Struthio camelus: one gene and its partners. The protein of the gene in region 3 purifies or fractionates together with the protein of the main gene of each other region. This does not show direct contact. Links are inferred from orthologs where the notes say so. Each region holds a gene or a part of one and is shown on either strand. Other genes may lie near its edges. The genes, in order: MPHOSPH6, EXOSC6, DIS3L and GIGYF2.

Region 1 (7,462 bases), on a different chromosome or scaffold from region 3:
CTCCTTCACAGCTGGGAGTAGGAGAGGGCATCTCTCACAGCCCATGACAGACTGCTGAGAGAGCAAACCTACACATCTGAGATACGTGAAACACCCCTTCTATTTCCATTTGCATCAGCTCAAGTGCCTGAGCTGACTGCCAATTTAAGCATCAACAATGTTAACCCATTTCACCAAACACGCTAGAGAAAGGAGAACTCTTCACAGCTTTACAGTAATAACCCTTATATTCTCACATCCCTAGGAGCTGGGACCTCCCTTTGAGTCTACAGAAAGCCTTTGAATAACCTTATCTGTCTGGGCTACACATTTATAGCAACACAATTCCCAGCAAGAGGCTAGTCTATCAGTAAATTTTATACACATACCTGTACAAAAATTGCTATGTGGCCATCAAAGCATACCTGTATAACGGCATGTGCACCGCTGCACAGGAATCTCATATCAACTAATTCTACCCCTCTCATTTAAAGCAGCACCACTCCTGTGTTTAGATAAGCCTGCAGGCTGACTGTTAACAAGCCAGTGGGGCACATCTGTACCTTGAGTGGTAGCAGAGGCTCTGACATACTTTTGGTCCCAGCTAGAATAGCCTTGGCTTGGGGGTAAGGCCCAGGAAGGCATCCCTAAACGCCTCTCACACACAGCTCCCGTGTCACTGAGCTTATTAAAAAAAGAAAAAATATATACCCCCCCCCCTTTCAGACTTTACAAAATGCCCACAGCAACATGAAACAAAAAATCCTGAAGTAAAAGCCAATACAGTGCCAGTGTCTCCTTTCCCATTTATATTTCTATTTGCATCCACGTGTACAAGTTAATGAAAGAAAAATTGATTTTTGTTTTCTGAGTCGGCCCAAAACATGTCAAAGCTTTCCAATTAAAATTGCAGTATCTACTTGAGGAAAATATGGGAATCTATCATGTGGAAAACCATACCGCTCATGGAAATTGGTTAGCCAGTCAGAAGTCTCAACAGGAGAAATTTTGTTACACGCACCCAATTAAATAATCATTTTACACTACATTTTAAAGATTATGTTCCTACAGATTACCACAGGGAATAACTAGATAAAAAAATGTGATCATATTTATCTACAATGTAAACACGCATGAATGAATTAAAAGATACCAATTGTGGTAGACACAGAACACGCAAGTCATTAGCTGAGTGTTTCCTGGATCAGTTTACCCGAATAATGGAACCTGGATCAAACGGTGCAAGAATCAGAAGCGTGAGCCACGCTGTGACACCACGAGGCAAGTCGTGGAGTCCGGCAATTAATGCAAGGGGCTTCAACAGCACTGCCACTGACCACACCACCTTCTGGGCCCAGTTCACTGGGAACCTGCCCTTAGAATGGTGACAATACCTGCAGAGGCAACTCTTACACGATTAATTAAAATACTGGTAAACAAGGAGATCTGTAGAAGGAAAATGCTAAATAAAAATGGGTTATGTATGGCCTTTGCAAAGCCTATTCATCTCTTCAAAGCGGACCTACTGCTCATACTAAACCAGCAATTGTCATGGCGCTGCACTCGCATGCCTGTTCTCCACAGCCTTTCAAGAGAGGCATCTGAAAACTGGCTGCCAAAATCTCCCGAGGCTTAATAAACTGGCAAAACCAGTAGCAGGAATTTCACTTAAAAAGAAAGTATCAAATGCAATCCAGGCAAAAGGAGTCCTCCTCTGCCACGCGCTGCTGGCTAACTAAGTGCATCATCTACTCGCTTTGAAAAATAAGGAACGTTATGTCTGGTTCCCTCTGCGCACCAATTTTAGTCTTTCGCTAGCAGAATCTGTTAATATTCCACCATCCCTCTGTAGCAGAGTCCATTTTACATGGAAGATAAACTCCTTTCCGCTGGCATCTTGCGAAAAATGGGAACTATGCTCTCAAATATACATGTGGGGAAAAAAAACACGCTTAGGTAAAACACCACAATCAAGAAGCCACAAGGGCTCAGCCACTTACAAATGTTTAATGAACTTAAAAAAAAAACAAAAAAACCCCAATTAATAGCAACTTGTACTGGTTGTTTTCCAGAAAAAGAGGGCCATCAATCACAGCGGGATGCACTCTGCTGAATTAGGGGCTGCGTTACACGATGTGAACCAGAAGCCACGGGCCGGCAAGCGGAGACTCGCTTCACATCAGCCTTGACACGAGGGTCACAACTCCAAGGGTAACGGGTAGCTCACTATTTTATTTTACTGATGGCCTTGGCGTTCATGGGTTGGCAGAAGGGAAGGGAAAGGTGGTTAAAACCCCACGTTCAATGCAAACTGACCGAAAAAAAAAAAAAAACCAGAACACACACACACACACACACACACAACCAAGCACAGAAGTATCAAGGGTAAAAGCTCCCTGAAATAAGGCAAGCAGTATTAACATAATAGAAAGGGAAGGGAAGAAGTCTAATCGTTTTTATTCACGACAAACGACCTGCTCGCAGAGAAACCGGAGGGCGAGAAGAGACGCTCCAGCGTTTTTCGGGGCTGCCCTCTTGCCGGAGGCAGATCTCCGCTGCCATCGGGAAGCTCCTCTCCTGCCCCAACCCCCCGAGCCCTCTCACCAGGGTTTCAAACACACGGGGGGCTGCGGGGGGGGGGGGGGCAGCATGGCCGGAGGGGATCTTTTTTAAAAATTTTGGGGGGATTTTTTTTTTTGGGGGGGGGGGGTGGAAATACACAAAGCGGGGGCAGCCCGGCCTAGCGGCAGCCGCTGATCCCTCCGGCCGCGGAGGGCGGCCCCGGCTCCGGTCCCGACCGGCTCTCAGCCGCCGCCGCCGGGGCCCAGCGCAACCCCCGCGCCCACCCGCCCCGTCCCCTCCGAGGGCCGCCGCCGCCTCACCTTCATGCGCAGCAGGTTCTTGGACAGCTTGGCCTTCACCTCGCCCGCCATGGCGGCCGCCGGGCCCGCGCCGCCAGCAGGCCGCGGCCGATCCCCGCCCTCGCCTAGCGCCGCCGCCGCCCTCGCAGGGGGGGAGGAGGAGGAGGAGGAGGAGGAGGAGGGCGGCGCCGCGGCTCCTCCCGCTCGGGGGCGGCTCCGGCGGCCTGGGGAACCGCCGCCCTGCTCTTGCTGAGGGGGCCGGCCGGAGCCTGAGCCCCTCTGCTTTTACTTAATAATCCCGAGGAAATAAGGTTGCTGCGTGGGTTGGGGGGGGGGGAGCGAGAGGCGAACGGGGCGGGAAGGGGCAGCGCCCCGCGGGCAGATGGCCGCAGCTGGGACTTGACCCTCCTTCCCGACGGCCTGCGAGGGGCTGGGGCCGCCTTCCCTAACCGCGCTCGACGCCCCGCGTACCCGGCCAACGGCCCGCTCCTGGGAAGGCCCCGTCTTCCCCAGCTGGTGCGAAAATAAGATTAAATAAAAGCGTCCTGGATCCTGGATTTCTTATTAGCGCTGCGTAGTGTAGAGTTTTGTCCATAATTTTCTGGTGTTTATAGGAAGGAAGGAGGGAGATTTTATATAAAGTTTGCTCATATTGGCGTTGAGAGACTGCGTGACCTGTTTAGGTTTCGTTTTTTAAAAGTAAGCGCTTTTACTTGAGGAAAAAAAAAAAAAGGCAAAATAGTCATGTGATTAAAACTGGGAAGCAACTGAATTGAGTTGTTATAAAAAACTTCAAATGATTGATTCATCCTGAATCACGATTTTGGAATCCGAGCTTGGCAGTTCTCCCTTTAGGCTACCAGGCTGGGCTCTGGACGCTCACGAAGAAATCCTTACGCCAAATTTCCTTTGGCATAATTTCAGTTGACTCCCAATTTTCGGGTGACTTCCAAAACACAAGCAGGTACCACAATTTCCATATACCTTCTGATAAATCAGGTTCCCGAGGCCTCTCTGGATGCTCAGTACATATAAACCAGGCAATAAACTAAGAAGAGTGAGGGTACACCGTGCAAAAGTGTAACGAACTGGGGTGCACAAAAAAACGAACTAGGAAAAAAAAATGCCATACATCCAAAATGTAGGTCAAAGTGAGCTTGAAGAACATATGTAAAGATTTATATTCTAATAGAGTTCACAAAAATGTATAACGAAGGGCAAAACCTGCCTGCGGTGGGAAAGGAGAAGGAAGAATTATCAAAATCCAGGCATCTTTATTACACAGTTAAGCTCCATAGGTTAAAATGATTGAAACACAGAGCCACAATCACTTTTAGGACAGTGATAAAACTGCATTTAAGTAAGTAATTCTCATATAGGTGGAGCACCCTCATTTCCAGGTCTGAAAATGAATTGAAAGTGCTTAAGTGTTTCTGAAATTCAAAGCCCCAGCAAGGAAGTCTCTTTGTGAGCGTGGCCCATAACTCCCACTTCATTTAGCCCCATCAGGTTTATACCTTCTTTTTTCACTTTCTCTTTAACATTCATCAGCTCTTTCCAACAAAAGAAAGCTGGGCAGTTGTTCTGAGTTTTACAAATACAAATATGCATCGAAGAATGAGTATATTTGTCTTTGTGAAAGACCGGAATAAACCAATATGGGAGAGCTATTAATTAATATAATGGCATAGTACATCCATTATCTTGCTATTTTGGGTGTTATTTTCAATTTGCCGTGTTGATCGTTGCTGTGCTTTTGAGCCCTGCGTTTAATTGCATGGCCTTCAGTGTCACTCAGGTCTTTTTTTCTGAACAGTTTCAGTTAATTTACAGTCCAGGAACGTACTTCAAGTGATTCCTTCTAAATACACTGCTGTGCATCTGTCAACACTTGTCCAGCTTTTGTGCTGCTGCTTTGCGGGGCTTTGTTTGAGGTCCTTCGTCACAACTTCCTTCCTGTTCTGCTGGTGTAGTGACTCATCTCATCCATTTTTGCAACCCATTTCTCCAGCAAACTTCTCTTACAACTTTGTTTTGGATGCCACCTCTTCACGTGTTGGTTGCCTGGTACCTTTGATGTTAAGGAGCGTGCTAGCACCAACCCTTTAATTTTTGGGAGCTGAGTCTAATAATTCACAATGTGTTCCTTGGCGAGTAGGAGCTCTGGGTCCGCGGCCACAGCCTGGATGCACCCCGTGACCTGATGGTGTCTCGGTGCAGGACCGCAGCCTTGCACGGAGACACGTGGCTTACGTCTGTCCTGTACGTTTGGACATCAGCTAACACAGCATGCCTGCCTCAGCATGTCCAAACCTGAAGGCAGAAGCGTTTGGCAGTAAATGTAGTACAGGCGCTGTGATGTTTATTTAGAGAAGTGGAGATCGTAAAAAGGCTGCCACAGGATTTGATGTATTTCAGCTGTAAAAAAGTCGGAAGGAAATTTTTGGATTACATCTCCCATCGCTTGAAGTGGATGGGGAGGTTATAGATAACAATCAGCTGTCTCACGGACTGGATTATACTGTCTGCTAAATCTGAAGACATGCCACTGATGAGAGCAGAAATCTCTATGATTTACTGGTTGAGGGGGGGGGGGTAGGTGAGAGTAGACTCTAGCCCTGAAAATATTCCTGCTTCTGAGATGGAGCAGAGTGAGGAGGCAAGTAGGGAAAGATGCTCGGTTTAGAGAAGACACCAGGGTCATCTGAAATGACAATCAGACACCTCTCGCAGCTCTGACAGCTCTATGGCAACTCTGCTTTCAGCCTGAAAATTCAGTTATTTTTCAAAACAAAAATGCTCAGGAAAATAACTCAAGGGAAAGATGCTCCAACTCATCAAAGACTGTATGTTAAACAAACAGATAAAAGATTTTTCTTCCTAGGAAATGCAGTCCCATCTCCCCCCAGTAATTACAGGAGTGGAATCAAAGTTGTCATTAACATTATTCAAACAGTTATCCTTTTTAGAACAATACAAATTACAGTTGTGTACTAGTTTCATGCCAATGGGCTCTAATCTGAGGTAACTCATAGGTTCCTTTTCCAGTAACCTTTCATTTCTTCATATTCTTGTGGTATTGTGATTCCAGGACAAAACAGGTCTCTCAAACCCTCTATCAATCGTCTAGATTTCTTATGAACGGTCTTTGAATATGAAGCACCATTTTACACGTCTCAAAATATTTGAAGCCATTTTTTCCCTGCAAAAATCAAAATCCTTATAGCATGACAGATGAGTCATTCATTTGTGTCGAACTCCTCTACTATATTTTAAGTGAGGCTATTATGTGTTGTTCTCTGTGAATGAGCAAGAGCAAACGAGAGGCAGAGCTACTGGAGATTTGTTTGCAAATCTGAAAGCATTGTGTGAGGTGCGGCGTGCTGTATCCAGCAGGATGGAATCAGAAATGCACTCCGTTTTGTACTCCGTGCTTTGGGCAGAAATAGTGTGAAATTCTCCAAGCGGTAGACACCCATGTTTTTGAAGTGCAGGACTGAGTTTTTATCTCTGTTGTTCCCATGAAGTTCTGAGCCACTAATGCATACAGCATATCGACAGCTCCGAAGGTCCTGGGTGACCAGGGATTTGTTACAATATTCATTAGCCTTTGATGCATGCATGTATAACCTGGCGGCCCGGGTACGTTGCTCAGTCTGCTTTGTACCTAATCCGCAGAGGATATGGGCTTGTTACAGCTCTCAGCCTCAGAGTAGCACGTCAGCTCAGAGCGTACTGACTCATCCTTCTAGTTTTTGAAGTCCCCTTTTTAAAATTTGGCATCGGTTTAGGTTACAGCATTGACATATGCAGAGTATTTTACATCCTCGGTGAACCCCAAGTTCTCCCTTGCTTGGGGAACTGTATGCAAAGCCTACAGCAGAAGCTAAGCTCATATAATTTGGGTACCACAGACCCACGTTGCTCATGTTTTCTCTTTAATAGCCTTGGGCAGTATCACAATTTATGCAGTGTGAAAAGGCATGACTTAAAACTGTACTTGCAGGAAAATGGAGTTACAAAACCTCCAGAACAGCAAAGAAATGTTTTTATCTGAAGAAAGTGCCTGTTGTCAGTTTGGGAAAAGACAATTCATTTTAAGTGCTTTTGACTGTCCCGATGGCAGGGTGACCTTTGTGTGAATAAATACAGTAATTCCTTTTTGATTACAAAAAGCAGCAGCTTCATAATGGTAGCTCCCTATCTTCTACCATCACCTAAAGTGGCGTGGATAACAGATACCAGTCTGTTATTCTGTTGGCAAGCCTAAAAAGTTGATCCTATGTTGCAGTGATTTGATATATCCCAATGCTAGGAGTCAGAGCAGGGAGAATGACTAAGGCACGGTCTAGAGTGCCCTTCTCCGGGCTTTCCTTTAAAAATCTAGAGGCTTTTAACTTTTTGGATTTGATGGAATCACAATTAAAAGAGAATAGGAAAATATTACCTTCCATTTGTTAGCCATAAAAATGCAATGCAGCAGCGCTGGTGGTAGTTTGCTATTTCCCAGGTCAATAAATGGTTCCCCTGACTTTAATAAACATTGATGCTGCAGGCTTGTTCTACAGTGACTGAATCTTTTTATAGTTTCAACTAGTCACATTGCATGAAAGGTTGAAGGT
Region 2 (5,518 bases), on a different chromosome or scaffold from region 3:
TCAGGCAGCTGATCTTGCTAGTGTAGGCAGTCCCTTGGGTGGCCCAGGTGGGCTCCAGCAGTGTAGAGGGTGGCACAGGCAGGCTCTGGCAGCTGAGGCAGGGTAGGGGCTGCTTTGGGGGGCTCAGGCTGTGTGGGGGCCACTGAAGAAATGTAGGAGGCTCAGGTGGTATGGATGCCACTCGGGGGGGGGGGGGGGGCTTGAGCAATATGGATGGGCTGCTCAGGCATGACCTGGGGACTGGGAGGTCTCCAGTGATGCACGGGGTTCCTCAGGAAGGCTCTGGAGGTCTCCGGCAGTGTAGGCGGCTGCTCAGGTGGGCTCCAGTGGCCTCAGGCAGTTTTGGGAGCTGCTCTAGAGAGGTCGCTGGCAGTGCAGGAGACTGCTGGGGCAGGCTCTGGGGGTCTCTGGCAGTGCACGGGTACAAATCCGGAGGGCTCCAGCAGTACAGGGGCCACTCAGCTGGACTTCGGGGTCTCCAGCAGTGCAGGGGGCAGTTCAGGCAGGCTCAGGCAGTCGATGGGGTGGCCCGGCGTCGGGCAGCGCGCAGGAGGCTCTGCCGCAGCACGGGGTAGAGGCGGTGGCAGCCATCGAGGCCGAGGCGCAGGGCCTGGGCCCAGCTGTCGGGGGGCCCGCCTTGCCCACCGCCCAGCAGCCCCGACACCTGGTTGAGGGAGGGCAGCAGGGCCACGGTGAGGCAGGCGGCAGCGCGGCGCTCCTCGGGCTCGCTGGGCTGCAGCAGCCAGCCGGCGGCGGCGCCGGGCGGCCGGCACAGGGCGCAGCCCACCGCCAGGTCGTACATCTCCACGCCGGCGTCGGCGAGCGCCAGCGCGGCGGCGCTGACGGCGGCGGCCAGGGCGGAGCCGCCGTCCTGCAGCAGCAGCGCGCTGACGGCCAGGCGCGCCCGGGGGTAGCGCGCCAGCCGCACCGCCGGCTCCAGCGCCTCGCGCAGCGCCGCCGCCGCCTCGCGCTCCGCCTCGCGCGCCGCCGCCGCCCGCGGCCCGCGGCCCGCGAAGGGCGCGCGCCGGAACTCGCACACCAGCCGCCCCCCCGCTGCCGCCGCGCCGCCGCCGCCCGGCTCCGCCGCCGCCTCGCGCGGGCCCCAGGCGGCGCACAGCACCTTGGTGCCGGAGCCCAGCTCCACGTAGGCCGAGCCCTCCGCCTGGCTCAGCAGCCCCGCGCGGGCGAACAGCGGCCGCAAGGCGCACGGGTCCCGCCCCCCCTCCTCCTCCTCCTCGTCCGCCGCCGCCGCCGCCCCCCCCGGCCCGGCGGCCGCCGCCGCCCACACCTCCGGCGGCTGCGACTCCTCAGGGCCGCGCAGGCGGCGGTGATCCAGCGGCATCCTCCGGCCGTCCGCAGCAACGAGGCAGGCAACGAGGGAGGGAGGGAGGGAGGGAGGGGCGGAGGGAGGGAGGAGCCAGCCCGCCCCGCAAGGAGAGCCAGCGGCGCGCAGGGCACGGGCCCTTTATTAGTACTCAGCCATTGCTCAGCTGAAACTGCCCGCGCCGGGCAGGGCGAGAGGCGCCGCGCTCCCGCCCGCGCCTACCGCGCGGCCGCCGGAGCACCCCGACCCGCTCTCGCTGGGCCCCGCCGCCCCCGGGCTAGCAGCAGACGCTGGCCTCTGGCTGCTCCCCCAGGGCCAGCACACGGCGCCCTTCAGTTCTTCAGCTCCCCCAAGTGGAGCTTGGCAAAGTCCGTGGCCAGTTTCAGAGCCTGCTCCAGGCAGCCAACGTTCTTGCCTGTAGCCTGTGCAGAGACGTCTTTACCGCCGCCTTTACCATCCATCAACGCAGACACCTCCTGCACCCACTGACTGGCCTTCAGGCCCTTCTTCACTGTCTCCTGCACAGAGGGGGAAAAAGAAAAAAAAGAGGAGCTCAAACCTCAGAAGAGAGGCTAAGAGCACGGTGGGATAGGACAAACCTCTTTCCTTTGCAGCTCCCAGGGGTGGGGAGAAGCTATGCCAGCAGTCCAGTGGCAAACATCCTGCCTCGGTGTTTGCATGAGCACACTGAATGCTGGCTCTTCCTGCTTCTTACCAAAAAGATTCAATACCTCACCCCTCCTCTGACCCTGCAGCATGATAATAATGCAAAGGCGAGAGACCACAGCTGCTGCAAACCTGCATCTTTGGCCTTGCAATGTTAGATGCCGCTCCTCCAGCTGGTGGGTACCCCAAGGCTCAGAGAAAGGCACGCACACACACACGCACACACACACACACATGCGCACACTCTGTGTTACCTGGGGTACTTGACACAGGCAGGTGATTCTGCCGGCTTCGTTATCTACAGCAAAAAGCATGGTGGCAGTCTGGGGGGACTGAGTCTTGAAGAGCTTCAGAGATTCATTCAGCGCCTGTGGGACAACAGTCACGTCAGCACATCTTCCACCTAGCTTGCAAACAGCCCTGTTCCAGTCCCCACACAGCACTATGCAGCCATGACGAGGATGGTCTGCAGGTCTCTTCAGAGACCAGAGTACAACCCACCAGCCAGTAGGGAATCCGGACTTGTATTAAAACAGCTAGCAGCACCCTGTGGCGCTCGTTCTCCCAAGCACAGGGCCTCTTCATGTCCCTGGCTGTGGTGAAGTCGTGGCAGAGACAACCTGCTTTTCTGGCTGCAGGCAGCTGCTGAAAGCTGCACACAGCTACCTGACTGTGCCCCCTCACAGCTGCAGGGAGAGGGGACTGAGGATATGCTTTTATTTCCCTACGTTCAGCTATCTGGAGACTTGCAAAATTCATGGCTCTGCACCCACAAAGTGAATGAACCTGTGGTTTGGCTATAAGTGTAACAGACAGAGCGGAATATGCTCTGCTGTATTCAAGGGAGGGGGCGGCTGTTCTGTGGAGAGCAACAAGTCAGGAGGACTTGCCTGGAACGTGAAGAAGCTACAGGGGTATCGGACAATGCAGCCACACTGGAGAGACTAGGGAGACTGCCAGGCATCCTATTATTTCTAAGACAGTCATCCTTTGCTCTTGGGGACAGCACGGTACAGCACAGAGCTCCTGGAGCAGGCTCTCTAGTGAGCAAAGCGTTGCTGCAGCAGTTGGCTACTAAACACATGGCTGCTCCCCTAGGCTGCCTGCACTGCCATCCCCCAGGATTCACCCATCTGCCAGAGATGGGCTCACAGCCGCACGCTCCGTGGAGCATTCCCATCACCAGGGAGAATGCCGCATTGGCACCCTCTGTGGCAACAACCCTGCAAACAAAGCAACAGTTTCAACTCCCACACAGCTGTGAGCAGGAGCGCAGGCACCATGGAGATGGGGACAGCCAAAGAGAGTGGGTGGGAATCTATAAGCAGGATCAGCTCAGAGACTGCTGAAGCAGAAATTTAAATGGGACATTAAAACTTGATGGTTCCAACATCACAACAACATCGGCCCCCGCCACCTGTCACTTGCTAGGCTAAGCAGTGCAGCGCACACAAGAGAGCATTTATTCACAACAGCAACTGCTAGGAAAGAAACTTAACTTCTGTGTGGAGGAGGAGGAGGGACAGAGCAGTTTCATCCCTGACCAAAGAAGAACTTGAACCTTACTGCAGCAGATGCAGTGCCCAGGAGCTGGGGAACAGCTCTGCAGTATTGTCCTATCCATACACTTAGTCCAGGACACTGTGTTTCCAGAGCTGATTTGCAAGAGTCACAGGCAATACAACTTCTGTGGATCAGCAGACCTGCTTTTAAGAGTTCTTGCAGCCTGCATTTCATGACTCCTTTGAGATCCTTCTTATCTGGGACCCAGTGCAATTTCTGCATGGCTCCCCATCTTCCACCAGGTCTAGAGATTCAGCATATAGCCAAGACCCCCTCCAACATGTTTGTTAACCCAGGAGGTAGGACGTAGAGATCATCACAGTGGTCCTTCCCCCTCTTCACTAGCACTGCTGGCAGGTTGCAAGCTGGCTCTGTAACACAGCACTGTCTTCTCAAGCGAACAGGGACTATCTAGCTACTTCTTAAGCACAACCAGAGTTGTCGGGGAGAGACCAGACCTTCCCATACCTTTGCTGAGGCTCCGTTTTCCATTTCCATGATGACCAGTGGCTGGTTAGGGTGACTCTCAATGACTTGCTTTGTCTTCTCCAGCACCTGAGAACAGCAGCATTCAGAAGCTGAAGCATGCACATTGCATACGGACACAAAGAAGACCTGGGTAAAACCTCTCTGCAGCTACAGAGGCCCCCCAAGGTTCTCCCAACACACCCATGGCCCAGCCTGGAGCAGCCCCACACTGCAGAGCCAAAAGCAAAATGTGCTGGCAGGTGCATGTCTGATCTGCAAAGTAGCAATACTGCTGTGAGTGGTGGCCCCTCCAGGAAAATCCAATGAGATTCAGAAAGAACCCCATATCGCATGCCACTCAGGCACAGGGGCTCCACCATGAGGGCAGGAGCCTCCCATCTCCCAGGAGGTGCCGCAGGCCCTTCATGCTGGGGACCAGCAGCAGAGGCAGCTGTGCTAAGGGCAGTGGAAGCTCTTTACTACAGAGCGCCCCCATCATTTAACACAGTTGCAGAGGGTGAGCCAACCTCCATGCCAGGGAGGCAAGAGCCATAGTGCAGCCACCAGGTCTTGAGGAGAGAGCAGGGCATCCCCATTACTCAGCTCCCTTCTGTGCTGGGCCAAAGGGAAGCTCCCAAGGGAGCCCCCACAGGTTCTCCCAAACTGCCTTTGATTCCTGCATAGGGCTCACTCTTTTCTGGATGTTGGCTTTGCTTGCCCGGTCCAAGTCATCCATAACCTTCTTCAGTGCTTTAACAGCCTCTCTCAGCTCATCTTTCTGCCACTGTGGAATAATGGCAGTGGCCAGTGTCTGCAAAACAGGAAAGGGTTAGGTGACCACAGCACAAGGCAGGGGCTGCTGCACCACTCTCATGAGCCCCAAGCGCCTTGACTGGTAGAGCCCAGTAAGCTACCCCTCCCAATACCCAATGACTTCAGGAATGAGGTGCTGGCTGCAGCATCCACAGGACGCAACGCTTCTGCTTTGCTTGTACTCTACAGGACAAGACTACAGTTCGCAGGCAACTACACCCATGGGGATAATTGAGACCAGGTGACTCCAGACACTATCCAGGGAGATACAGGAGCAGGAAACTGAACTTGGGCCTTGTTAACATCACCCACTGCTGGCAATCAAGGACCCCACTCACTCTAGGAAAGTAGATTAGTGCCCTCATCCTCACCTCACTGAGATCTGCAATCTCCTTCTGTACATCCTTGTTGGGAGCTGTCTGGACCTTTACTTTGGCGTCCAAGTCAGACAGCAATTTCTTGAGGCTGTCTACTTTCCTGAGGGCCTAGTAGAATAAAATTCAAGTTATGTTTTGCGGGGAGAGTTACTGAGCTGAGCTCTGGCTATAAGAAGGCATCAGGAATGCTGCAGCCCCAGGCATGGGGGCTCCTATCCATTTCCCCGCTCAATGGGGAGTGCAGTGCCAGGGGCCTGAATAAATTCTGACACATGTGACTCCCAGAGGACTCTGTATGTGCAGCCCG
Region 3 (6,905 bases):
TTGACACGCTGTTTGCATGAAAATAATACCTTTCAGCTCTGGAAACTCAAGAATCTCAAGGTAATCTTGAACCACCTTCCAGTCAGGGACAACATAATGAGTCACATCATCTGACAACAATTTGCCATCTAAAATGTAATTCAAAGTGTAAAGGTTTAAACTTTCAATTGCAATATTGTTTTTTTAAAAATACTGTCAAATGCGAGGCAATCCTAGTTGTGGATCTTCAAAAGGTATATATATCTATTCTTCTGAGGAACAGAATTTTCACGGTTCAATTAAATGGTACGTCTGCTACGGTACAATTCCTACAATTTGTGACTGAGCCCTTCTATTATCCACTGAGCAAAAAATTTTGAGTAAATACTATCTAAATGAGTGAAAAAAAATCTGGTTTCATTACAAAAAGGATGTCACTTGAAAAGTTCAGGTAACAGTCCAGTTTCCTCTACTTCCACATAAAAAGAGAGACCACATCTGCCACAGCAAATCTTTTTGTGCAATTATCTTCACCATTCAACACTCTCCACTTACAGCAGGCTCTTTTCTGTATCTGTACATAAAAGGTTATACGTGAGGGTACACATGGAGAAAAGCAATGCTATTATAAAGAGAAGAGGTTCTCAAATCTAATTATTACCATCATAGTTAATTCTCTCTAAAGAGACTCCATCCCTTAATCATATCCCATCAAAATCTCAAAACAAACCCATCACATAAGAACTTTTAAAACATACCCCAAAATTAATTAATTGCTTTTGATATTTCAGAGATTACTCAGTAAACTTTTTTTTTCCTTGGGATCTCCACTGCATTTTCTCTCCATGTCTATTTATTCCTTGTGTTATTACAAACACTGAACTGCTGGACTTAAAATAGTGCTGGCAGATTACATTCAAATTTTATAGACCCTGACAAATCAGGTTATTTTCATATATTTCTTAGAAGCTGACACAAGTCAGTCTGTCTATTGACTCTGATCCCTAGAAGTGAGAATCCAGTGGGCACAATTCTGCACAGCATCATGCGGCTGTATCTCACACTGAAGGTATATAAGGGACGATGGCAGGACGCATATAACAAAGTTAATTTTTATTACTAATTCAGAAGAGGATTAGGAGCGAAATGTCACTTGAAGATGTATGTAATCTGCTCACATTAAGCTATCCTTGCCTAACATACACATCTAGATCAGAATAACTTTAAGTAGGCATAGCATGCCATTAAAAATATCTGTGGATGTGATTTATGCAAGCAGGCTCCCACAGTGCGTGAAATATGTTTGCTCGGCACAGTATATAGACTCAGGAGTGAAAACATATGTTCACCATACTTCTGAGTTACCTAGAATAATTACAAAGGGACATACTCTGACACTGATTACGGCACAATTTACATTTAAGTCCAGAAGTTAGGCATGGAGAGAGAGGCAAGAATTTGGTCTGGTATTTGCCTGTAACTTATCCTTAGGGAATTCATAAGGAAAGGAATTAATACATGACACATCTCAACAGCTCCCAGACCCATTACAGAGCAGTAACAATAACCTTGTCCTGACATCTTAGATAGAAGTAATATACTACTCTACCTGCTGCCCTCCATCACAACAGGCATCTAAAAACAAAACAGAGGTGACAACATCTATGCCAACTACAGTTCAGAAGAAAAACAGTTAAAATTCTTAGCCTTTTCTTTTAGGCCAGCAGATAATTTGGTTGATTTAAACGTGTTATACGTTGTGTTGGTTGTCATTTATTTTCTTGCACCAAATAAATTGTGTTATTTAACAACAAAAAAACCCAGAAACATCAACGAACAATCACACGGTGATCTATAACGTACATAAGAGCGCTGCACTATGTAAAAACAACATGAAACCTAGAAATCACAGAAGCGGGCAGTCTTCCCATGTCTGAAATGCCCAGGTATAGCAGGGACAATTAAACTTAATTATTGAACCAACATAACTGCTGACGCAGAATTACACAAGTTTCAATGACACCTACTTGGCCCCGTTGTAAGAATACTCAACAAATACGTAGAGAATTTAGTTCAAGCTACACAGGAACTCAACGCCCTGCAGGAATTAATCCATTTTTGAAAGAGCTTTAAAAAAGGAAGCACAAAAACATGAGTGTTCCCCCCGTTAAACTTGCATGGTCCTTTAGAGTTTTACCAGCGTCTGTAAAATAACTGTTTACAGCCAAATCCTGCAACAATCAACTTCCCTTGTCAGCTCTCCTTTTTTCTTAGCACCTCATTTTCGTGCGAATTTTGCTCTGAGGGTGTATTTTCGCTATACCCCTGACTTGGCGCTGCCTGATTTCCCCCGCCGCTATGTGGCGGTGCTCAGCACCGTGGACAGGCCGCCCTGGGGCGGCGGCGGGGCGAGATGTGCCATGAGCGCTCCCGTTCTCTGCCGGCCGGCGCCACCCGCCTCCCGAACCCCGCGCCTCACCCCCTCTCCTCTCCTCCCTCGCCCCTGCCTCACTACAACACGTCCTCCACTCTCTCGTCCTGCTCTTCTCACGCCCGTTACTCGCTGCCCCTTGCTCCGCTTCTCCGCGCCCTCTCCCGCCGGGTCCTGTCAGGCCGCGCCGCCGGCCCGCCCGGCCCGGGGATCGCTTCAGCGCACGCACCAACCTCCGCGCCCGGCCCCGGCCGCTTTCCACGCCGAGGCAAACGGCTCCCGGCCGCCCTGCCACCTCCTCCCGCCGCCTCCGCCCCGCGCAGCCCCGGCGGCCGCTCCCCCCCGCAGCCCCCTCACCGCGCGGGCAGGCGGCGCGGCACAGCGCGCTGCGGCACGGCACGTCGGGGCGCACGTAGTGCTCCCGCACGACGCGCACCGAGCGGCCCTGCTGGCCCCGCAGCTGCAGCACTTTCTCCGTGCGTTGCATCGCGGCGGCGGGAAGCGGCGGCCGCCGCCGCTAGGCCAGGCCCGGCGCTCCGCGGCCGCTGCGCATGGCGCGGGGGGCGGTGCGACCGTGAGAGGCAGGGCCTCCCCCTGAGCGAGGGGCGGGGAGCAGGAGGGCGGGCAGGAGAGCGAGCGGGGCGGCGGAGCTGGCGGGGGCGAGGTGGGAGCGGGCTGAGGGAACGGGGCGGTGCTGACGGGAGAGGCGGGAACGAGCCGAGGGCAGCGGGGCGGCTCTGAGGGGAGAGGCGGGAGCGAGCCGAGGGCAGCGGGGCGGCTCTGAGGGGAGAGGCGGGAGCGAGCCGAGGGCAGCGGGGCGGCTCTGAGGGGAGAGGCGGGAGCGAGCCGAGGGCAGCGGGGCGGCTCTGAGGGGAGAGGCGGGAGCGAGCCGAGGGCAGCGGGGCGGCTCTGAGGGGAGAGGCGGGAGCGAGCCGAGGCAGCGGGGTCGTGGTGAGGGCAGAGGCGACGCTGAGGGGAGAGGCGGGAGCGAGCCGAGGGCATCGGGGCGGCTCTGAGGGGAGAGGCGGGAGCGAGCCGAGGGCAGCGGGGTGGTGCTGAGGGGAGAGGCGGGAGCGAGCCGAGGCAGCGGGGTCGTGGTGAGGGCAGAGGCGACGCTGAGGGGAGAGGCGGGAGCGAGCCGAGGGCATCGGGGCGGCTCTGAGGGGAGAGGCGGGAGCGAGCCGAGGGCAGCGGGGCGGCTCTGAGGGGAGAGGCGGGAGCGAGCCGAGGGCAGCGGGGCAGCTGTGAGGGGCCAGCGGCAAGCTGGGGGCTGAGGGGAGGTGACGAGCCTCGAGGCGGAGCTAGGAGCAGCGCTGAGGGGGAGCCTGGCGAGGACCAGGGTTCGTTGGAGCCCCAGGTTGTGCGCCTGGGTGAGCAGGGAGGATAGCTCTCCTCTCGGTGAGGTAAAACTGAGAGGGTTTGGGCCTGTGGAGGAAAGACTGAAAAAGTGGCTGGGATGTCCCTTGGAAGGCAAATGGGAAGAATTTGCCCTCTGTTAGGGTGGATTGTGTGGCCTGAGGGTGGTGGTGGTGAAGATACATGGTGAATTTTTCTGTTTCTGTGTCTAGGAAAAATAAGAAGAGGCTGTCTTGCTGTATCTAAACTGTAGTCCTGCATAAATGCTCATGTGAACCGTCATGGTCTTTCATAGCCTATTCCAGGCACAGCCCCAGATCCGTTTCTCAGATCATCTGGTTTCGCTTGGTCACCTCCCAGCACCAGGGGTGCTAAGATGGGGAATGTGGCTAGGGTGAGTGAGGAGTGCACAAAAGCCCCAAGTCAAATAATTTTACTGTAGAGACCATTATTGCCCTTTATATTTTACAAATGGGAACACTGAGGCCCTGAAAGATGAAGTGCTTGCCCATGATCAAACGGAAAAGCAGTGGCAGGGTGATGAATACAACTCATTGTTTCTGAGTCTGAGTCAGCGCTCTGCATATGAGGCTGCAATGATGTTGGTGTAACCTATTGGCGATGATTATTCTAAATATAAAAAAGCAGTAATACTTTCTCAGAATTGCATCTATCATAACCTCACTTGAAATACATACATGGTGTAAGCTATCTAGTATTTGTCCTTATGAGAAGAAAGAACCAAGGGACAGTGGGAAAGAACCAAGGCAGTGTTTCACTCTATGTTCCTGTTTGTTCTATTGCTTATTTTTCACATATTTTATAAAACGCGTATCTTCAGTGACTAATATTTTTAAGTAATCAGTTGGTGGCAGGAAATGGAAGTGCCATCTATCTGTAGAAAATTGATTTTCAGAAGCCAAGTCCGCAAACATATGAGGAGGAGGAGGTAGTACAACTTGGTGAGAGACGACCAAAATGTAGACTTGTTTTTCTTAGTCAGGATGATTTTAGACATATTATGTAAGCAGGAGAGGAGGGGGGGTGGAGACCAAAATGACAGAGCTCTTCTACAGTATGAACAAAGATGAAATAAACGGTAGTGACAGAAAAGGAATGAAAAATATAACATTTGAGAGAAAAGTCACTGAATTCAGTTTGAAACACTGTAGCTGCTGATTGCTGTAACACAGTGAAGAACGCAGGCCTGCATGCCTACTCAGTGTCCTTCAGTGACTGTAATAAAATGAAGGCTAATTAAATGAAAGTGACTGAGAGCAGTGCTCTAATTTGTTCACTGTTTCACAGAGAGAAATGCCAGACCTTTGGGCTAAGTTCATTTAATGCTGATACTACTGAGTAGCTGCATGCTTATTTCTAAAATGGACAGTTTTTAAAATTCTCACCATTTCCCCCCACCACCACCCAAGAGCATTCTCTTACAAGTAAAAGTCAGTTTAGAGTTGAGTCAGTAAAGCCAAAAGGAGCTACTTACACTTCATCTAACAATTGAGTTTGGCCTAATGAGATTTGAGATAGATCATCTGGGAATTGGTTTTATACGTGGCAAGAAGTTTCTGCAGGGTGAAGCTGCAGGGTAGAGGGAGAGCCAAAACTTCCAGGATAACAAGATCATCCTTAATTGTTTTTTTTTTTTTTAAAGCTGCTAAAATGTTTAAAAATGCAATATTGTAAGATCTCATTGCATGTTGAAAAATGAAAGTGGAGTGCAGCACAGCTGCAAAGCAGTGAGACATAAATTTCCTCCTGAAGTTTTTCCTTCTCTAAGTGTCCAAGAAACAAAATGTGGTAGAACAGTTGAAAATAAAATAGTACAAATATTTCTTTATTTTCATAGAGTATTCTCCTTACTTCAGAGTTACTGCCTTGGATAACGCTAGTAAGCACTAGAAAAGCTTGTGTTTTAAATGAGTCAGAGAACTCTCTCTAGAAAGTTCAGTTACATGTTTGTTGTTGCCTATGCTGGGAAGCATGAGCCTCTCGGGAAGTCTCCCTACTTATAAAAAGGTCAGGAGGTGCAATGCAGAATTTCAATATAGTACCTTTTGATAGAAGTTGCTCAGTATTTTGGCAAAGAAAACTTTCAGGTCATTGGGGAGTATCAGCTTCTAGCTCAGATTTCTCATGACTTGAAGCCTGACTCATCTGACAAATAGCTGGAAACAATTAACCTAAGCAACTGATGTAGAAGTAAAATATCACGTAGGTTGTTGTCAGACATATATATGTGGAAGTGGAACATGCGCAAGATAAAACGAAAAGCAGGTATTCAGCAATAGGTGTAATACATTGTTGACCATTTAATGTAATACTAGCTCACCTGCTTACCAGTATGTGTCGGTTGGCACCACACAGATATACTTTATGATATACCTTACTTCTGTCCTGGCAAAGCAACTGCTGAGTTTTATTCTTGCAAGGGAACTTCTTCCTGAGTTTTGTACAGCCTGTTATTAGAGGCCACTAGCTGCTCCCTTCCCCAGTGTTGGGAGGTGGACTGCATAGCTAAATTGGGCTTCATCAGCTAAAATTGTGCTTAAGACTGTCAGTAAGCACAGAAAAGTATATAGGAAGTTATATTCTGGTTTGCTACTGTGCCTATAAACAAGTCGGCAGCAGACCACCACAAGACGGGATTACATAAACTATAAGGCCCTATTACAGGCTTTCTGAGAAAAAAGATTTAAGAAAGTAACACAAAACAGGAGACAGAGTATTTAAGTCTGGTATCCACACAGCCAAGTTATCAATAGAAATCTTGTATTTTCATTTGAAAGAGGCCATATTTTTCCCAAGAATGCTATCGCTAGGGTAGAGGATGGAAGATTCGATTGTCTTACAGGATATCTTTAAAGTTGATTCTTCCATTCTTAAAGAAATTTTGAAGCATTCTTAAAGCAGTTTTTGAAGTTCAGCATCTGCTTCTTAACTCATACAAAACTGAATAAATGCTATTTTTTCTCTTGGAGGTTCCTTCTCCTGTATTGCTGGTTCAGTAAAACCCAAATACTGTAAAAATAGTGCCCATATCTAGAATGGTCTCAGGATTAATATGCAGCTCCTTGCACTAATCTATCATAAAAAGTATAATGTACAGTTCTCACGCAATTATGCTCTG
Region 4 (7,829 bases), on a different chromosome or scaffold from region 3:
TGGAACATGTCACACACCTAAGTTTTCAACTGTCACTCAATGAATTAAAATAAATCAATGAGAAACCACATGAAGAAAGAGATCTCTTTCAACATAAATGTCTTTTCAATAACAAGGAGATGGATTTCTCCCTACCAAAACATTCAATAGATCTCCAGCAAGCTATGTAGGAAGGAGGAAACATATCAGGCCCATGCTTTGAGGTTTATGATCTGAAATGTTGTTGCTCAGTCCCTTACCTCTGCCTATCTCTATTTGTAAATTAAATATAGTTTATCTCATTTCATCTTTGAGCAGGGGCACTAAGAAAAAAGACATAAGCATAGACAAAAAAAGCTAAGGAAAGGAATTTTTAAAAATCAGACTGTAGGAAGATTTAGCTTCATACTTTAAAAAGCAGTAGGAAGGGAGGTTAAAGACTTCAGTGCAAGAATAAGAAAAGCGCATTCGATAGTTGAGCTTACAAGAGCAGACAAAAGTAAGCAGAATCATATTTCATATTCTTGACATTTCCAACACCACCACCAAAGAGCTGGAGGCTGAACCACTTTAAAGAAGGGTGAAGAAGGGAAGGAAAAGATCATGGTCCATGCGCCTAACTCATCTTCATAGATTACTATGAACTGATTTTGCCAACTGTTTTTCCCTTTGTACCTTTAAATAACTACAAAGACTTTTCAGCAGAGGTACATACTAGCAAATAACCTCTTCAGTCAGTCTGTGTGCCTACCCTAATGAGATGCTCTACAAGACTTTGACATCAAGTTTGCTTCAGAAAGGAAGTATCTACACATCCTAAAAGTGCTGCCAACTTTTTCCTCACATTCAGGTTTAAGAAACTCCAGTTTCTGATACGACTCCATTTAGACAACTGACCTTAGGAGACAGCAGGAGAAGAAGAGAAACAATGGCACTTATTCTGAACTCTCCTTAAAAAAAGCTTCCTTGCAGACCCTTTTCAACTCCCCTTTGACACGCCAAATCCTTTCATCAATCAAGAAGTGGATTTATTAGAAAAACTAAGGTAAAATCTCAACTCATTATTTACATGCAGCTTTTTCACTTCTGTCAGTATAGAGATCTCATTTTTCATTTACTGCATGTTTTTAGGAAGGCAAGAGAGCCACTAAGTATCTGAGGATACTTTAAAGTCCCCTTAAGATCAACATCTGTTGAATCTGAGAAGATCTACAAGGGTCAGAGTTTTTACTGAGGTATTAAAGTCTTTCTATGAGCATCCTAAAAAATAGAAAGCAGGTCCTCCTGAAGGCGACAGCTGACATTCAACTCCTGCAGATAAACTTCTACGTTCTTTTTAATATAGTTGGCCATTATACTGAATCTTTGTTTTCAATCACATGTTCAGTGAGGAATTAACATTGACACACATGAACTTGGACATTAATTAACTTGTAGGACTTACGTCTATATGAGGTGGGAGGTGGAGAGGGTGCAGAAGGGGCAAAAGACACTTTAGCATTTTTGTTGACACCACTAGGACTGACTAGGGCATATAGTTTTACCTCAGCATCAGTTAACTGACCAAAGGAGGTCCAGTCAAGTGAACGCCAGTAACACCAATACTGCATGACACTAGAACTAGTATTATCTATTACAACCACCACTGAAAAACAGAGCTCAAGAATACCTGTAACAAGCTCTTGTTAGGGACTACAGCAACCAATTTCATTCATAAAGGGTCCAAATTATCACTCTGTACATCTACCAAACGTTCTATTCAGAAAAAGCATCAACTGAATGTGTTTATTAAGAAGTAACTTAAAAATAAAACGCAACTGCAAGAGTTATGGGAAAAGGAAAGAAAATTCACACGTACTTTCCAGGAACTTGCCCAAGTCAGATCCTGAAGCAAGAAAACAGAATGAGCAGCAAGAAGTTAGACAGAAGAACATAGGCAGAATTCAAAAGTCTGTTCCCCTCCACCCCAAGAAAACAGATACATAAGAATTACAGTAAGAGAGAGTAGTATTATAACAGCAAATCAAAAGCAGCAGGCTGAAGACTACTGGGGAAAATATAGGTTTTATTCCAGAAGTGTCACTTGGCAATGTCTCCTTTTGGCCTAAAACTTGCCCCACTTCAAAGTGCAGTTACACAGAGTTGAAAGAGCGGAGACTGCTTTGTTGACACTGAAACTACTTGTCTTGGATCAATACCAAACGTACATAATCCTGATCGATGTGCTCTTCAGCCTGCCAAGGCCTCTCCAGTCAAACACTGCTGGTCATTGCTGCTCCCAGCACCCTCCTGCCTGCGGGGGAAAGGCTCGAGTGCGCGACCAGCTCCCTCCTTCCTCAGCCCGTACAACCTGACAGAGCCGGGCGTGTTGGGAGCCGGGCACGGAGGCTTCAGCGAGGGCGCACCTGCCCGCGGCACGGCCAAAACACAGGCCCAGCCAGGCGGGGCGGGGAGGGGACGAGCGAGTTCACACGGGTCAGCGCAAGGGGAGGCGGCGCCGGGGCCGCAGCTGCCAGCCCCTCAGGCGCTGAGGCGAGGCGAAGCGACGCGACGCGGCGCGACGCCCGGCCGCTGCCTGACAGGCACCGTCCCTAAGCCGAACCCTAATGCCAAGGGGCCGCACGGACAGTGCGATGCCCGCCCGGCGGCGGGGAGCGCGGCGCCGGGCCCAGCAAGCCCCGAGGAGAGCAGGGGAGACCCAAGAGGGGCCCCGCGCCGCCGGCCCGGCCTGGGGCGGCCTCCCTCCCGCTAGGCCGCAGGGCGCCCCGGGCTGCGGCAGCCCGGGCTCGGGGCGGACAGGGGCCGCCGCCGGCGAGGCCGGGGCTCGGGGTGCGGGCTCGGCTCGGCTCGGTGCGGTCCCGCGGTGGGACGGCGGTGAGGCGGGCGGAGGCAGCGGCGGCGCGGCGGTACCTGCGCTCCCGGACGGAGAGTCCCTCACGGCCACCGCGACTCCTCAGCCCCAACAACACAAGATGGCGGTTGCGCCGCCACGCAACGTCACGTGAGCCCGGGCCCCGCCCCCCGGCCTCCGCCGCAGAGACCCGGATGGAAAACGGGCTTCTCTCCCCCTCCCCCTCCTCCTCCCCCCTCCCTCCTCCTTCCCCTTCCCCCCTCCCCGCCCTCGCGGAAGCACCGCCCACTTGACGACACCCGCAGGGGGCGGCCCCAGGCGCATGCGCGCGCAGCCCCCCCCTCCCGCCCCGGCCCAGGAGGAGCGCGAGCGCCGCCTGCCGCAGGCGGGCGCCAACGGTCGCCGCCGCGCCGCAAAGGCCTGTGGGAAGGAGGCGGCGCCGGGCGCCGCGGCCGTTGGCGCTCCTCGCCCTCACGCCTGGCGGTTTTAGGTTACCTCTGGGTATATTCCGTCCTAGTGGCTGCACTGAAAACCCGCCCGGTGCTGCCCGGCTGTGGGAGCCGACGGTGTGTTAGGCGGGTGCTTTGCCCCCGGGTGTCGGCCCCCGGCCAGGGCAGGCCGGGCCTCAGGCGGCGGCCGCCGCTGGCAGCTGGAGAAAACGCGGTAGGTGGCACAGCAGCTGTTTTGATACTAAACTGCCTGACGGGAACATCGTCAGGAGCTCAGGGCAAGCTTTTCCAGCTGAAAAATACTGTTTTATTTTTAGCCCTGAAACCCCTGTTCGTACACGACGCGGAATAGCCCCGTGTGGTTATTTCAGCCTAAAAAAGCTACTCTTAGCTGTTACGTGCTTTTGGAGAAATAACCATTTTCAGCTGAAACAGTCATGACTTCAGCCACAATCCATTTAGCTTTAGCTCTGCTCTTCTAGGTGAATAAATACTTGTCATTGTGCACTGAATGCTGGCCAAAGATGACGCGACAGTGCACACAAGCGATTCCTCTGGGATAACGGGTTGAAAGTTCATCATTCTGAGCTCTTATTTTTAGCCCAGAGCAACAGAGGACTGCTTCCCTTCAAAATCTTAGAATGAAAATTCTCCTTTAGGAGGCTGGTTTGAAAAAGAAAGCTCCCTAGCAAAGGGCTCTGATAAGCTAGATTTTGATTCTCCTGGTTATTGCCACACAGCTCGAGCCAATATCAATAACGGTGTGAGTAGGGAGAGATGCAGTGGTGCGCATCAAGCTGCCAGTCAGACCTTTCAGCTTCACTCCAGAAGTGGCTGTGCCTTATTATTCTGCTTGTTGAACGTGAGTAGGAGCACTCAAAAATACTCTCATGTCCTCTAAGATAAGCTACATCGGAGATGGGAGAAGTTTAAAACTTACAGAATTTTTTTCCCCCGGTTAGCACAAACATTACATTATTGAGAGAAAAATGTCAAGACGAGAGTGTCTGGAAGATGTCTCATGTGCAGAACTTAGCGTTTTTTGAAAATATCTCAAGGAAATTCAAATTATCCATAACACACTTAAATCATCCATAACACTTTCAAGCAGAACAGTGAGTCATGAACATAGAGGAGTGTATCTGTGCAGTTAAATTCCTCCATGGTTTAATTACATGACTGCAGCTGATGTACTCTAGGTATGAAATCAGCTCACTAGCCAGTCTGACATTTACTAAGGTACTGAAGATATGATGTACTTTAAAGCCATCTCGGATGCCATGCCAGTTCAACTGCACTGTTAAAAACCCAAGGGTAGGGAAATGGAATCGCTAAGGAACCAAAAGAAATCCTTATTGAAGGCATCCTAGTTTGGAAGCAGGAGCCTGCCTGCTTTACTATAGCAGTGGAGCTAGGGACGCAGAGCAGAGCTTTGAATAGGTAAATAATCGTCATAAAGCAGCTCAGAAGGCATGGCGGAGTCCGTCATTTCTGCCTTCCTCACCTCAAGTTTTAGTTACTTTAAGACACAGCTACTGTGTTTGCTGATATACCAAGCATTTTGTCTGAGAACAGTCGCTATCTTCTCAACAGCCTCTGTCTTCCCTGGGAATGGTGAACAGCCCTCATTTGTGAAGTCCCTAAAAAATAATAAAAACAACAGACGAGGCAGGCAGGTGAACACCGGACCGTGTTCTTTAAAGTCAGTCATTTCAATGCGTCTGTCACCCCAGGTGGCTTATGCTGAAAGACAAACTATCACAAATATACTGCTAGTTCTGCAGCACCCAGTTATTTTAAGACGTCCTTCTCACACTGCAAACTAACTTTGAACAGGAGCAGTAAAGCACTCTGGTCACTTCAATCTGCCTTGCCAAGGGATTTATTTGGACACTCCCAAAAGGTTAAAAATCAGTTTGGTCACCTTAATTCTCACAGTTAAAGCCTGAACGCTTATCCAGGAAGAAGAGACGAGATACTCCCAGTCATATTGTTTCCCTTTCCCTGAGCTTTACATGAGCAATTTGAGGCACGTCTTCCTCCCTTCTGGAAAAGACCCAAATCCACAACAGGTTTTTCATCAATCACCTCTCTAGGGTTTCTCTCTTCACACTTCTCCTCCCTATCACAACGCACACGGTCACTCCAAGCATGTCAGTAATGCCAGACTGGTATCGATGTACCAGCAGGTATCGGAAACCAGAATTGGAATTGCCTGGGCCTGCTGGAGCCACCTGTGGTGATATCAAGCATAAAAGTAACATGAAGGAGGACATAGTATCAAAGACTGTAAGATTTTAAGTACAGCTAAATAAGATTGAATAGGTATTGTGGGCCAATAAGTATTGGATTGGAGATTTATCTAGGCAATTTTTTTTTAGCACTTCTGCATAACCTGAAGACGCTATGTTATTTAATCCAATAGTTCCGAGCCAAACAGAAAATTTAAAGAGCGTTTATATTCCAAATGCCAGTTCTTGTAAAACTAACTTCAAAACTTACATTGCTGCACCTTCAAACAAAAAAAAATTTGTACACCCAAAAGCACATACTGTTCACTGCATTAAATACAGACCCCAGCTAACAGCATCTGCTTGAATTGAACAAAACCACTCTAGCAGAAAACTGAACATTGAGAAACCTGATGCCATTGTCCTGCATACGCCAGAGAAGAGGAACCTCACAGAAGAAGCCTGGGCTGAGAAAAAAAATCCAATTAGTTCAGCAGATAGACTGAGCACCCTTTGGGAAAAGGACTAATGAGCAAAGTCCACCCTTTGGGAGAAGGGCTAAAGAGGAAAGTCTTGACTACAGACATGACAAGTTTCCAAGGCCTACTGATAATCTCCTTGGTGGGCAACTCCAGCAGCCCTTTTTCCTTATTTGTGAATTCTCCCTGTCCCTGCTGACCCACCTACGTTGGGATTGCATGGCAAAAGAAGGATCCTTACCTTCCCGGCTCTGCAGTCCAAGCTACCTCAGGGCCAGACATGCTACTCATTTCCTTATTGAAACTTGTCAGCTGGAGTTGACTCAAGTCTTAAAATGGTCACTTTGGAAGTCCTTTTTCCACCCTCCCCTCCTGCTCCCCAGGGCTCCTCCCCCAACCACATGTTACCTGCTTCCCTTTGTAGAACTGCTATGCCAAGGCAGCAGCATTTGCTGTGGTGGGGTAGGAGGGGGAAAAGGAACATTGACAGCTGCAAAAAGGAAGTGGAGAGCAAGGAGCCTTCCTTCACTCTGATTTTTACATGACCCCAGAGACCTGAGGGCTCACAGATGTGCAGCAAATGCATGAACTGCTCACAGAGCAGTGCTAGATTGAAGATCTGTACTGGATACAGCATTTCCATTTCATCACTGGATCACACCTGCAATGAAGCCTAATTAGGCCTCCTCCTTAGCCCTCCACACTGGCCGTGCCAGCAAAGCTTAGCAGATCAGCACAAGTAGAATAAGATTCTTGGAAACGCTTGCAGATTGTGATGCATTTATTTTTCTCCTATGAAGGCAGGATGATGAAACACAAAGAGAAATGTAGTTAGACCAACCTACTCAGGCTCCCAGATGAGACACTACTAGAGGCTGAGGTGCAGTATCTATTTCAAGATAAGGGAAGGCTGACAATGTTCAGATATCAACATTTTGCAGTGGACAGTGTTTCAAATATTTGCACAGCCACATCCCTTTCAGAAGAACTGCAAACATTAGGGCTTTTTACAGCAGAACTATTGTATAGCAGTAGAGGGCATATCGAGAAGGGGCTGAACACTTCTCTGCTTATCCAAGTCAAGCCACCAAACTTTGGGGCTCAAACAGAGGCATGTTCAGGAGGAAGGACCCAAAATCAACCACATGCAAGACTGGAGATAACAAGGCTTTATTTGTACATTTCAGCAACAGGAGAAATAATTGAAGATGCAGTTATCTGCTTTGTTGTAAAGTATAAAAACATTTAATTATAAATATTTAGCTAAAAAAGCGTGATTTTATAAAATATAATCTGTGAAGATATATACACAGTTTAATTGTTTAGCAATTCTTTCACCTGACATTAAAGAGTAGAGGTTTTTCTATTTATTATTCCATGCTCACAGCTTAGTGCTCACAGTTTAAGAAGCAGAACAGACAAGTGAAAAGACGACTAGTGAGTTTTGTTTTGGAAGGAGGAAAAAAAAGAAATACACACACAAACCAGGGCAATAACAGAGCAAATAACTTGAGCAAATCCATGTTTAGAGAGAGGTCTCACCAAGGGAACATTGTTTCCCTTGGTCATGACCTACAGAGTATATCCAGACAAGATTCAGGCATTTTAACATCTATGGGCAAGCTTTCTGTGTTTGTGAAAGAAAATGGCTAAGCTTAGTGCAAGCCTTCTAAATTCAGTCCAGCTACATGTGCTAATCTGTCTGCTTGTCCCTTCTGGAGCAGGGATTGATCAGTATGCTGGGCTAGTTTTATCTAGCATGGCTCTAATGAAATCAAAGTCACCTTTATGATTCAGGCTATGAGCAGATTTCCAAAGATAAAAATGCAATGTGCCATCC

What was found.
Region 1: the proteins of DIS3L (region 3) and MPHOSPH6 purify together in Homo sapiens (affinity purification with mass spectrometry; 3 studies listed by BioGRID and IntAct, with this or other methods). This does not show direct contact. The link is inferred for Struthio camelus from reciprocal best matches to the Homo sapiens genes DIS3L and MPHOSPH6.
Region 2: the proteins of DIS3L (region 3) and EXOSC6 purify together in Homo sapiens (affinity purification with mass spectrometry; 3 studies listed by BioGRID and IntAct, with this or other methods). This does not show direct contact. The link is inferred for Struthio camelus from reciprocal best matches to the Homo sapiens genes DIS3L and EXOSC6.
Region 4: the proteins of DIS3L (region 3) and GIGYF2 purify together in Homo sapiens (affinity purification with mass spectrometry; 3 studies listed by BioGRID and IntAct, with this or other methods). This does not show direct contact. The link is inferred for Struthio camelus from reciprocal best matches to the Homo sapiens genes DIS3L and GIGYF2.

What each region holds. Positions count from the first base shown.
Region 1 is NC_090951.1:5,795,587-5,803,048, reverse strand, and holds the start of MPHOSPH6 (M-phase phosphoprotein 6), read right to left. Parts: upstream 3,011-7,462; 5' UTR 2,913-3,010; coding exon 2,862-2,912; intron 1-2,861. UniProt on the Homo sapiens protein: RNA-binding protein that associates with the RNA exosome complex. Involved in the 3'-processing of the 7S pre-RNA to the mature 5.8S rRNA and play a role in recruiting the RNA exosome complex to pre-rRNA; this function may include C1D.
Region 2 is NC_090951.1:26,414,250-26,419,767, reverse strand, and holds EXOSC6 (exosome complex component MTR3), read right to left. Parts: upstream 1,343-5,518; coding exon 509-1,342; downstream 1-508. Other genes in the region: AARS1 (alanine--tRNA ligase, cytoplasmic), read right to left, coding at 1,657-1,842, 2,245-2,358, 4,022-4,108, 4,713-4,832, 5,206-5,319. UniProt on the Homo sapiens protein: Non-catalytic component of the RNA exosome complex which has 3'->5' exoribonuclease activity and participates in a multitude of cellular RNA processing and degradation events.
Region 3 is NC_090953.1:3,230,622-3,237,526, forward strand, and holds the start of DIS3L (DIS3-like exonuclease 1), read right to left. Parts: upstream 3,016-6,905; 5' UTR 2,898-3,015; coding exon 2,768-2,897; intron 2,701-2,767; exon of another isoform or gene 2,644-2,700; intron 129-2,643; coding exon 1-128. UniProt on the Homo sapiens protein: Catalytic component of the RNA exosome complex which has 3'->5' exoribonuclease activity and participates in a multitude of cellular RNA processing and degradation events.
Region 4 is NC_090950.1:5,921,024-5,928,852, reverse strand, and holds the start of GIGYF2 (GRB10-interacting GYF protein 2), read right to left. Parts: upstream 3,021-7,829; 5' UTR 2,890-3,020; intron 2,273-2,889; exon of another isoform or gene 2,187-2,272; intron 1,865-2,186; exon of another isoform or gene 1,838-1,864; intron 1-1,837. UniProt on the Homo sapiens protein: Key component of the 4EHP-GYF2 complex, a multiprotein complex that acts as a repressor of translation initiation. In the 4EHP-GYF2 complex, acts as a factor that bridges EIF4E2 to ZFP36/TTP, linking translation repression with mRNA decay.